Diceros bicornis minor: one gene and its partners. The protein of the gene in region 1 interacts with the protein of each later gene in a biochemical or structural test. Links are inferred from orthologs where the notes say so. Each region holds a gene or a part of one and is shown in the gene's direction. Other genes may lie near its edges.

The links.
Region 2: the proteins of RELN (region 1) and VLDLR form a complex in vitro, tested with the Homo sapiens proteins (6 studies listed by BioGRID). The link is inferred for Diceros bicornis minor from reciprocal best matches to the Homo sapiens genes RELN and VLDLR.
Region 3: the proteins of RELN (region 1) and LRP8 form a complex in vitro, tested with the Homo sapiens proteins (7 studies listed by BioGRID). The link is inferred for Diceros bicornis minor from reciprocal best matches to the Homo sapiens genes RELN and LRP8.

The regions. Positions count from the first base shown.
Region 1 is NC_080742.1:14,031,910-14,035,652, forward strand, and holds the start of RELN (reelin), read left to right. Parts: upstream 1-1,441; 5' UTR 1,442-1,584; coding exon 1,585-1,810; intron 1,811-3,743. UniProt on the Homo sapiens protein: Extracellular matrix serine protease secreted by pioneer neurons that plays a role in layering of neurons in the cerebral cortex and cerebellum by coordinating cell positioning during neurodevelopment.
Region 2 is NC_080761.1:26,932,975-26,936,717, forward strand, and holds the start of VLDLR (very low-density lipoprotein receptor), read left to right. Parts: upstream 1-1,328; 5' UTR 1,329-1,501; coding exon 1,502-1,583; intron 1,584-3,743. UniProt on the Homo sapiens protein: Multifunctional cell surface receptor that binds VLDL and transports it into cells by endocytosis and therefore plays an important role in energy metabolism.
Region 3 is NC_080752.1:15,653,201-15,656,943, reverse strand, and holds the start of LRP8 (low-density lipoprotein receptor-related protein 8), read left to right. Parts: upstream 1-1,476; 5' UTR 1,477-1,597; coding exon 1,598-1,709; intron 1,710-2,473; coding exon 2,474-2,593; intron 2,594-3,743. UniProt on the Homo sapiens protein: Cell surface receptor for Reelin (RELN) and apolipoprotein E (apoE)-containing ligands. LRP8 participates in transmitting the extracellular Reelin signal to intracellular signaling processes, by binding to DAB1 on its cytoplasmic tail.

The DNA.
Region 1 (3,743 bases):
TAAAACAGCTAGAAGTGGGCCCTTTGTACCTGTCTGAACTTGGCCCAGGTAAGAGGAAGAAAAACAATCTCTTCCTTTTGCAACGAAGTGACTACAGAGGTCTCCCTTGGGACCCTGCCTTTCCCCCTCCCCTCCCCACCCCACCCCAAAATGCAGGCAAAGATATCATCCCTTCCCATTTTATACTCATTTCTGTACGTGCGAGTTTATCTGGGTTTGGTGGCAAGCCAAAGGTGGGTGGGGAGAGGCATTAAAACCTGGCAACCCTGTTCCCCCATCGCCGGAAGCCGCAGGGCTCCTGCCAGCCGTCCTCGGTTAAAAACGTGCTTTTTATTTCGCTTGCCTGCAGCCTCCTGTGCAGCAGCTCATTACGACCCGCTTCAATCACCGCTGCCAGCATCTCCCCAGAACGTTTTCCCATCCCCCCATTTCAGGGACATTGGTCGTAGCTGACATTTAAGGGAAACAAACACTGATTTAAAAAATTACAACCATCTCCGCCTGAAGAACCCAGCAGCAATGACTAATAGAACAGTCCAGCGAAGAGCGCCTGTCGGGTCTCAGCTCCGCCGGTCCTTCCTGCCACACAATTCCCCCCACCCGAGCAGCACAAATCACCATTTTCAGGCACCACTCGAAGCTGCCAATTCCACTTTCGCTTAATCTCATTTTAAATCCAGCTACAGATGAGGCTCTGTCGCTGGGGTGCGGAGCGGGGCGGGGGGTGGCAGGCGGGACGCGAGGCCTGGATGGGAGGGGAGCGCAGGCGCCCTCCGCGGTTCGGGGCCGCGGGCCGATCCCCAGACGAGTGCAGGCCGCTCGGGCTCCGAAGCCGGCGAGCCCCGAGGGGCGCGGGGCGCAGACAAAGAAACCCGCGCCGGCGCCGGTCCCGCCGCCGCTCTCCTTCCCCCGCGCCTCCTGTCGGCAAAAGAAGGCCATCTGAGGGCCAAAGGGGCTAGTCTTCTCCTGCTCCAGCAGACAGCGGGCGGGAGGGTCTCTCTCCGAGGCTTTTCCGTTTCTCACCGTACATTCGCAGACCCCGTGGCCTCCGACAACGCCCCCTGACCACCCCCCAGCCCCGGCTGGCACCCGCAGCGGCCCTCCCGGGTGCGCACCGGGCTCCGACGTCTGGCCCCGGGGAGGCGTGCGCCCCAGGCGCGCGAGGTGCGGGCGAGCGAGCCCCAGGGCGGGGGCGGGCGGGCGCGCGCGGGGCGGCGCGCGGGGCGGGGGCGCGGCCGGGACACGTGTGGCGGCGGCGGGGGGGACGCGGTGCCCGGGGCTTTAAGAAGGTGTGGAGGGGGGCGGGCGCTTTCCCAGGCCTGGCCGAGGGGCGTCGCGCAGAGGCGACGGAGGCGCACACAGGCGGCGGACGACGCGCTTCGGCGCCCGCAGCCCCGGCCCCGCACTCCCGCGGCCCCAAGAAACTTTGGGAGCCGCCGTCGCCCGCGGAACTTCTCGGCCGGCTTCGCTCCCGAGCCCGCTCGGCTCCCGCCCGCCGCCTCTCGCCCGCCTTCCGCGTGGCTCCCCGTCCCGGCGGCTGCAGAACTGAATGCGCGAGCGGCGCTCGTGGCGCGCGGCGGCGGCATGGAGCGCAGCGGCTGGGCCCCGCGGACTTGCCTCCTGGCGCTGCTGCTGGGGGCGACGCTGAGGGCGCGCGCCGCGGCGGGCTACTACCCCCGCTTCTCGCCCTTCTTTTTCTTGTGCACCCACCACGGGGAGCTGGAAGGGGATGGGGAGCAGGGTGAGGTGCTCATTTCCCTGCACCTTGCGGGCAACCCCACCTACTACGTCCCCGGACAAGAATACCATGGTAGGTACCGCGGCATCGCCGCCCGCCCGGTGCGCCCGCGAGCGCAGCTGCTGCTGCTTTGCCTTCTCCAAGGGGCCGTTGCAGCGAGAACCCAAACTACCCTGCCCCTCGACATTGCGCTCTGTGGAGGGAGAGAGAACAAAGTTAGTGGAGACTCGGCTCGCGAGTTGGGATTTATTCTCTACTCCCCTCCCGCGTCTCCTCGTAATGAGCCGGTTCTTGTGGGAAACACCTGAGAATTCTCGGGGGCTGGAGTCTCTCCCCCTCAGGTTTTGCTCCTACAGCTGACACGTTGAATGAGTCCGTACATGTTGTGTCCTTAACCCCAGCACCTGGGTTCCAGACCTTTGTCCTGCTCCCACTTGCCCCCGAAGGGGACCTGGGTGGCGTTGGGGCTGGTCCTGGGCTTTGCGGACGGGCTGGTGACAGGTTGACGCGCCCCGGTCCGCGGCGGCCCCGCCGTCGCCCGCCTGCCGCAAAGTTCCCGCCGCTCCCCGGCCGGGGTTCCTCTCCTTCCTCGCGGTGTCACAGAGCCCTCCCGAAGTGGGGCGGCTGCTCCCAGCTCTCTGTTCTTTTAAAGTGTCGTTTAAAATGTCAGTAGTTGATATTTCTTCTGATTCCTCTCTTACTTTTAACATGCTGCTTGTTTTTAGAATGATCTCTGTGATGTTTATTAATGACTTTGTCTTTTATCTGCACAGCTTTAATTTCCAGGTAGGGGCAGGAAGCCTCTCATAATTTACCTTTATAATTTAAAAGTATCTTTTAAAAAAGGATCATTATGGAGTCCTTCATCAAAATTAGACTTTATCGAAGATATAGTATTTAGCTCCAAGAAAAATAATTTTGTATAGTGCATGTATTTTTTAATCTTTTAAGCTAGTAAATTGAGTGTGTGGGAAAATAAAAAGATACTATTTTCTGTATTTCCGCTGGAACTTCTGAATATTTCAGTTCCATGGAGCTTTTAAGCCACGACAAGCACTGTTTAATTAGAATTTCAAGGCAAAAATACTTGTACCCAACCAAATAGAAACTATTGTCTACTAATCTCATATTATAGGTTCGATCTCTTATAGGCTAACAGTTATTAACATGGCAGGAGATAATCCACGGAGCAGCTGGCATTTCAGATAAACATGCGTATGAAAATGATAAGAATCCTTAAGTTTTCCATTTTTTTTTTAAAACCTTTCATATCTGCTGTAAAAGGTTTAGCCTAAATAATGCTTTCTAGAGGTTTAAAATAGTGCTTTTACAACTTTCTTGTGGCATGGTGGCAGCCTTGTCCGTGCAGCGGGAGTCTAATTCAGTGGAATTTTAGACTTTGGAAAATTAATTTTCTGTAACTAGTCCCTTCTTTAATAAAAGCACTTACCACATTCTCTTCCCAAGAACAATCTGGTGTTTTTCTGAGGTCATGAGAATCTGTAAGTGGGAGGACCAGCCAATATGATGGCAACCCAGCCCAAAGACTGCTTGATTGAGCCTGTCACTCGGACTGACCCTTAGCAAGAGTGCCTGCCTGTTATTAGCTCTAAGGGAGGGTGGTAGGTAACTGAGTCACAGCTGGGCTAAAAGGTGTGATTGTCGGATTGTGATGGAAGACCATGTGATAATACAAAGCCTTATTTTTTTTTCTGTTTTCCACATTCTTTGTAAGGTGCCAGCATAGAAAACTTAAAAATACCAAAATATGACATAGCCTTTGCTTTTGCTATAAAGCTAGCAAATATAAGTCATCCTAAGACTGGCCATAATCACATCCCTAAGTCTGAAAAGGAGTGGATGATCTAGAGTAAGAGTAAAGTGTAATACTTCAAGTTGGACATTGCGGGGAAAGTCTTAATTTCTACCTCTTTTCTACCACCAGAAAAGGTAGAGAAATTTTATTATGTAAGTTTAAGAAGATCAAATTATTATCAGCTTTGAG
Region 2 (3,743 bases), on another chromosome or scaffold:
ATCAATCCTTTATATAGGAGTCTTGCTTTTGCTTCCTTTTTTCTATCCTTAAGCCTTGTAGTAAAAGCATATCAAGAAGAATAAACCTGCCGGGTCCCCCTCCCCAAAACAAGAAAAGGTTAAGCTTTTAATTACAGGCCCTCAAACTATCATTTTGTGCAATTAGCAATTAACTATAATCGTTGATGAGAGAATGCAGAGCTGCGCTAGCAATTTCCCTCCTCCTCATCTCAGACTGGGTTATTTTAGTCCCCTTCTATTAGAGAGGACAAGCCACAACCGCGCGCGCGCTCTCTCGCTCTCTCGCTCTGTCTCTGTCTCTCTCTCTCTCACACACACACTCACTCACTTAAAGGCACACTTAATTTTTAGCAAAATGGCATCCCAGCGTGCGATGGAGACAGGCATCCCGAACCCCACATGACAGCAGACCAAACGTTTAGACCCCCTCCTCTTCGTCACTTTCAGCTGGAGAGGGGAGGCCCGAGGAAGACGCTACCTACCAGCCTCACAATACCAGCCTCTCTGGGGCGCAGGGGAGGGTGGTAGAGAGATGTTTGTTGCCCCTGGAAGCGACAAGTCCCCCGGGCTGCAAGCCCCACTAGTGGGAAGGCGGTGGCAAGAGCAGCAATAGTTGCATCAGCGTTAACTGCTGCTGCCGCCGCTGCTGCATTTACTGTTGGCGGCGGCCGGGAGGTACAGTAATGACTGTAGGGAGCGCACAGCTGCTGCGGCGGCAGGTTCCCTGGATCAGGAAATTAGGGCAAACACCGGGGATTGGAGGCGAGGGCGGCGCGCGAGCCAACCAGAGGCCGCCCCGGGCCCCCGTGAGCCCCGGGCGGACGCGCGGAGCAGCGGGGCCCCCGGAGCAGTCCGGGTGGCAGCGGCGGCCACGGCCACGGCCACTCAACACGCGCACGCTCACACTGGCACACACACACACCCGGCGCAGACACCTGGCTGCCCCGAGCTTATAAAAGGAGCGCGTAGAGGCGAAAGGAGGGCTGAAGCCGCCGCTCCCCTGCTCCCCGCTGACCACTCCCCCTCCTGCCCCCTCCTTGCTCCTCACCCCGCGCTCCAGCAGCCGCCAGTGTGGGTGCTCCGCGGCCGGCTCCTCTCTCCTCTGTCTTCTCCTCTGCTCTCGGCTCCCCACCCCCTCTCCCTCCCCTCCCCTCCTCTTCCCTCCTCTCCTCTGCAGCGCCTGCATTATTTTCCGCCCGCAGGCTCGGCTTGCACTGCTGCTGCAGCCCCGGGAGGTGGGTGGGTGGGTTGGCTGGTGGGGAGGAGATTGTGCAAGTTGTAGGGGAGGGGGGGAACCTCTTCTTCCCCGCTCCCTTTCCCCCTTCTAACTCCTTCCCCTCCTCCTTCCCCTCCCCCCTCCTCCCTCCCTGCCCCCACCTCCTTCCTCCTTTCCGAAGGGCTGGTAACTTGTTGTGCGGAGCGAGCGAGCGGCGGCGGCGGCGGCGGCGGCGGCGGCACCACCACCATCCAGGCGGGCACCATGGGCACGTCCGCGCGCTGGACGCTCTGGCTGCTGCTCGCGCTGTGCTGGGCGTCCCGGGAGATCGGCGCCACCGGAGCCGGTGAGTGACAACGCGTCCCTCCGCGGGCTGTTCGGACCCAGCCGGGGTACCAGGGGGCCCCGAGGCGCGGGGTTCCTTTTGCCCACCCCCCTCCTAGGAGGCGCCTCTCCGCTCTCCTCGCCTTCTTTCGCTCCCCACCCTGGTGGCGCCTCTGAGCTGACTGTCAGCGCTGCGACTACGGGGAGCCGGGCTTGGGGGACAGCGAGGTTTGGGGTGTCCTAAAGCCTTGCCTGAACTAGTCTTCATTCTCTTACACTCCCTTCCCCAAAGCCACTGCTTTGCCTCGTTTTTCATCCCGCTTGGCAGGGACTGGGGAATGTGGGCTTCTGAGCCATTGAACAATGGTTCTGTCTCGTCTGCCAGGCGGAGTGTTAGGAAGGAGGCAGAGGGCCGGGCCGGGCCAAGACGTGCGCGGCAGCCCCGGGCACGCTCCTCGGATTTCAGAGAGGGTGGGAGTGGACGTTGGAAGAGGGTGGGCGCCTCCGGGGACGCGGAGCGCCGGCCGGGGCAGGGAGTCCCCCGCGGCTGTGGGCGGCAGCCGGGAGGCTCCGCGGAGCCGCGAGAAGTGCGCAGCCTGCGCGCCCGGACTGCGACTCGCCGGGCGCCGAGCCGTCATTCTGGAGTGCAGGTTAGAGGGCGAGTGAGGCTTGAAATAAGACTCCCCTCTAGGTGTTTCTCCCCTCTCCTCTTTCCACCCCTCGGGCTGCGTTGGTAAACCTCTCGGGTTTACAACCAAGCTCGTCTTCGTATAGCTGAACGGGGGAGGGGAGTGGAACGAAGACTTTAATCAGGTTAGTTTGCTGATCCTCGTTCCCGGTGAGATTTCCTCGAGAGAAATTGAGTCCTAATCTAGTGACTGTAATTAGCCTTCATTCTAAACAATAGATCAAAGGGAGCAGCGCGAGAGCTGGTGTGTGGCTCTGGCTTGTTGGGAGGCGGTGGTGACTACTGTCCGGTCCCCAGGGTCTGCTGCGCTGGGCCTGGGAGCCTTGTCCTCAGCCACTCTCCCGCTTGGGGCCGCACAACTTTCCCGGGCAGGCGACAGGACGCCCTTGTAAGAGGATTCGGTCAGAGTCCTGGCGGGTCCCTGAAGTGATCTTGACATGACACCCAGGGACTTGCTCTCCAGCTCTAGGGAACTGGGGCAGAAAGCGGCCCCCGTCTTAAGTACCTGTTCCTGAGTCCCTAGCTCCTGTTGCCGGCTTAGGAGGCCCGCCCGCCTGCAGTCACGTGTCCCCTGAACTGAGAGCGAACTTTCAAGTGTGTGGTGAAACAGCCTCTCCCGCAACCCTTGGGGGTTTTCAGCCTCCAATGCCCCCTGCCCTTTGGTTCCGACTGTCCCGAGCGTGTGAAGCTGGGACGGGCTTTTCTGCCCTCTGCGATTGGCTGGCCGCCCGATCACGTTTAGGTTGATCACGTGTCTCCACCGACTTGCCACTTAGCAGCCGGTGAAGTGTTATCTTTACTCGAACGTAAAACACCGGACCAGCCTCCGACCGACTGTACTCTCAAATGCCTTTCTCTGCCTGGACGCCTTGAAAAAGACGTGTGTATCGTGAAGATGGCCTCTGATGTGTAACAAACCTAAGAACCTGGAAAAGCCCTGCCTACAAGTTTTCAGACTGGAACATTAATCGTTAATGGATGAGCAATACTAACTTATTAAACGATTTCTCAGAATAGTACTATGACTTGCATTATACTTTTCATAACATTTCAAAAGACTAAGATACACCAGAAACTACTAACTGGCCAGGAAGGTGGGAGAAAAGATTCATTTTTGCTGCATGTTCTTTTCATACTCTTTTAATTGAACATAACTTTCCATTGGAGGGTAACATTATCCTATAGAATGCTAGGAATGCACCTAAACTGTTGAAATGAGTTAGTTGAAGCCATATGTTCACCTTGCATTAGGTAGGTGAGGATCCCTTTTGGCCCCCTAGGTCACATATGAAATGTGTGACATGCCATGAACAGTGGAAAATAGAAGCCCATGCAAGACTTAAATTCTTCAAAGGAAAGGAGGCACATCCTTCTAAAGTGGAGGGAATTGGGGGTTGGCTGAGGCAATATTGACCCTAAGCCAACTCAGACTGGCTCTTGACTGAGGTTCAAGGCTCCAGGGCACGTGGGCTGACTTTCTGGCCCTGGTCTTCT
Region 3 (3,743 bases), on another chromosome or scaffold:
GTTGAAAGTATGCCTGCATTTCACTGTCTGCCTGTTGATGGTGTGTCTCCTGGCCAGTCAGGGACCTCACTGGGGCTGGTAGCAGGTCTGATTTACGTTGGTACTCTAGGCCCACGACAGGGTTGGCACAGAGCAGGGCTGGCCTTGTTGGAGAACCGAATGAACAAAGGATAGAAGGTGGTAATGGCAGGAGCAGCTGCCGCACTCTCTGAGGTCTGCACCTCTCTCCCGTGGGGTGGCCATGGCCATTGTCGAGGGGGCTGCCCTTTGTGGGAAGTAATAGAGCTCAGGAGGCTGCTAATGAGACAGAGTGGCTTCCAGGCCTGGGGCTAACAGCTCCTGAAGCCCCCTTTCCTGCCCCTCTGCCATAGAGGTGAGGGAGCAACAGGGTGGGGGAGAGCTGACCTACACTGGGCCCAGGCACCTGCAAGCCTGCCTCTGTTAGCTGCCAATGCTCTCAAACCTCTTTGTCCAAAAAAGGTTATGTGGGTTGGGCCTCGATTATCAGCAGGCACCTAAAATCTAGTCCCAGGTCTGCCCTCTACACTCTGCACCCTGGCATAAGTGAGGCAGGGCTGCTACCTTCCAGAAGAGGGGGCTTCTCATTCATGCAGAGGCAGCAGAGGTAGCCAGAGGCCCTGGGTGTGTGTCCGCTACTGGCAGGGATGACGAATCCCTTCTGTGGTGCCCCACGGTCCTGCCCTCTCCATCACAGCAAGAACTAACATGTTGTCCCTGCTGGTCCCCTGCTTGTCTGCCCCTCTGCCTGGCCCCGTGGAGAGTACCGAATAAGGATGGGTGAATAAAGTCTGTGGGCCAGGCCCAAGCCACCTGCCTCACATCCTTGGCCGTGGTCACATGAGTGTGTAACATGCACAGATGCACATGGCTGCATTAACCAGCTACACAGATGTGTAATATGGGGTTGTAGCCAGTGAGGGGTGCAGAGGTCCCGCCCTGCTCCCCCACCTTCTCGATCACACACATCCGGGTACCCCAACCCCTATCTATCACCACTCCTGCTCCACGTGCACACTGCACAGGCCTGTGCACCGGGGAACATCATCTCCCCACCCGCCCAGGTTCACTCCTAGGCATCCCTCAGCCTCCTATAAGCCTGTCACCTCCTCCAGGCAGCCTGTGCTGCTTCCTCTGGACTGTCTGCTATCTTTGGGTGGCAGGGGCCTCGCCTGGCTCATCCCAGCGTCTGCGGCGCCCAGCACGCGGGCGGGCCCAGAGCAGGGTCACCAAGCGCCTGCTGAGGAAGGAGAGGACCAAGGACGTGAGGGAGGCAGCAGAGGCGGCGGCGGCGGGAGGGGCGTGGGGCGGAGGCGGCGGCGGGAGGGGCGCGCGCGCTGGCGGCGGCCGCCCAGGGCCGGGGCCGCGCGCCCAGCCTGAGCCCGCCCCGCCGCCGAGCGTCACGGAACCTGCTTGAAATGCAGCCGAGGAGCCGGGGCGGGCGGCAGCGGCGGCGGCGGCGGCGGCGGCGGGGGCAGCGGCAGCCCCGGCGCCGCGGCGAGGACTCGGCGGGCTGAGGCGCGGCGGCGGGGGCGGCACCGGGTGCGTGGGGCGCGGCGGCCGGAGCCCGGGGCCCGCCATGGGCCGCCCCGAGCGGGGCGCGCTCCGGCCGCTGGCGCTGCTGCTGCTGCTGCTGCTGCGGCTCCAGCATCTCGCGGCGGCGGCGGCGGATCCACTGCGCGGCGGCCAAGGTGCGTGCGGCCGGAGCCGCCAACAAAGCGCGGCCCGGGGGCCGAAGGGCAGGGGGCGGGGGGCGGCGAGGCCCCGAGCCCAGGCCTGGTCGGGGCGCCCGGGTGGATAGGCTCCTCGGGACCCAGCCATCTCTTCGTTTGCCCTCGACCCCCCGCGGCTCCTGCGTCGTGGGCTCTGCCCTCCGGCACCTGCTCGCGGGGGATGGGCGCAGTGGGGGCCTGGCCTGCCGGGAACTTTGCGGGGGGTGGTTATTGATGGTTTCGGGTGGGCTGTGTGATTCTCGCCGTTGAGGTTTATTTGACACGCGCGCTCCGCGGCGGCGGTGAGCGGAGCCTAGCGACTTCCCTGCCTGACAATGCGTTTCCGGGGACCCCTGCGTGTCGCCTTGAAAGAGGGGCTGTGTGCGAGGGGGATGTGCCCGCAGCGCCCACTGTGGGTGTCCTGGCGTGTTCGGGGCTCCCTGTGCGCTGTGTCTGCGTGGATCTCTGACTGTGGGCCGAGTGTGCGGGTGAGTGTGTCTGAATGGGAGGTATACCTAAGTCGTGTGACACCGACGGTGTGTGCCTAGTCTCCTACCATGGAGCAGCCCGCCATCCCAGGAACCCCCACCATCCTGCCCTCCTTCCGGATCGAGGGTGCCCGAGGCCCCTGGGGCCCTTGGCTCCAGCATCCCCCCCTTTCCTTCATCCTAGTAGATCCCTCCCCGCGGCCAGGACTGCATGGCCCGCGCGGATCCGGCTCACGCCCGCTCTCCCCCGCGCAGGGCCGGTCAAGGAGTGCGAAGAGAACCAGTTCCGGTGCCGGAACGAGCGCTGCATCCCCTCCGTGTGGAGATGCGACGAGGACGACGACTGCTCGGACAACAGCGACGAGGACGACTGCCGTGAGTGGCCGGCCGGGAGGGAGGGAACGGTGGGGGGCGCCAGGCTCAGTGCGCACGTGGCTGCAGCCGCCGCCGGGCCAGATGCGTGGACCTCATCGCCGGAGCCCGCAGCCAGGAAGCCAACTGGGCGCCGCCTCCCTCGGGGCTGAATGGCTCTTAGCGACACGGCGGGAGCTGGGCGGCCGGCGTGTCCTAATGGGGCTGGAGGCGGAGCGCGGGGCGGCGTGGCCCGGGAGAAGGGCGCGCCACGCCCGGCAGGCAGGGTCGGAACTGTGGGCGGGGACTCGGCGGTCCCTGCACGCGTCTAGCTTTCTGCGGTCGGGCCCTCCGGGACTCCTGCCTCGGCCCCACCGAACGCACGCCTGCTTCAAAGTTCCACGCAGCTCCGGGCCTCGCGGCACTCCTTTCCCTGCTCGGTCTGTGAATGAATGGGCTCCCCGGGGCCCCTGATTGGCTGGACGAGGACCACCCCATAGGCCCCCGTGGCCGGAGCGGCCAATCGTGGAGCGGGCGTGCGTGCAGGTTTCCGGCACCCTGGGCGCAGGGGCCCCGCCCCGGCCGCACCCCCGCGCGCATCCCCCGGGAAGTAGGTGCCGGCGAGGCCCTCTGCTTTTCTGCATAGTCACCGTGAAGACCTTTTTGTGCCACCCTGGTTAGCCGACCGCGCTCTCCTGCCCGCCCTGCTCGGGCATGAGTCATGGGGCAGACCAGGAAGGAGGGGGCCAGGAGGAAGAGTTTGTTTCCTGGAAGGGGCCCCGGGATCCCGAGGCCGCGCGTGAACCCCCGCCCGTGTGCGGGCCGCCTCGGCTGGGTGTGATGTTTGTACACGCGGGTGTGACCGCCTTGGGAGTTCTTTCTTTGGGTGCGCCGTCGTGGATGTCTGTGGGACAGGGTGCAGTTAATGGGCAGTTGTCGCCGTGGAAGGAGTGTAGTTCCAGGAACAGAAAAACAGGACGCAGGCAGTCATTCATTCCTGGTCCCTGAGCGCACGCTGTGTGCCGGGCGCTGGGGCACTTTGGGGAACAGCGCACCTGCAGGCCGGGGAACACAGGGTCTACGGGGGGCGGGGGCAGACCCACAGCTCCACACAGTGCGGGGAGTGGGGCGGGTATCTGGACAGGCATTGTCTGTGGAGTCCTCGAGGTTTTTT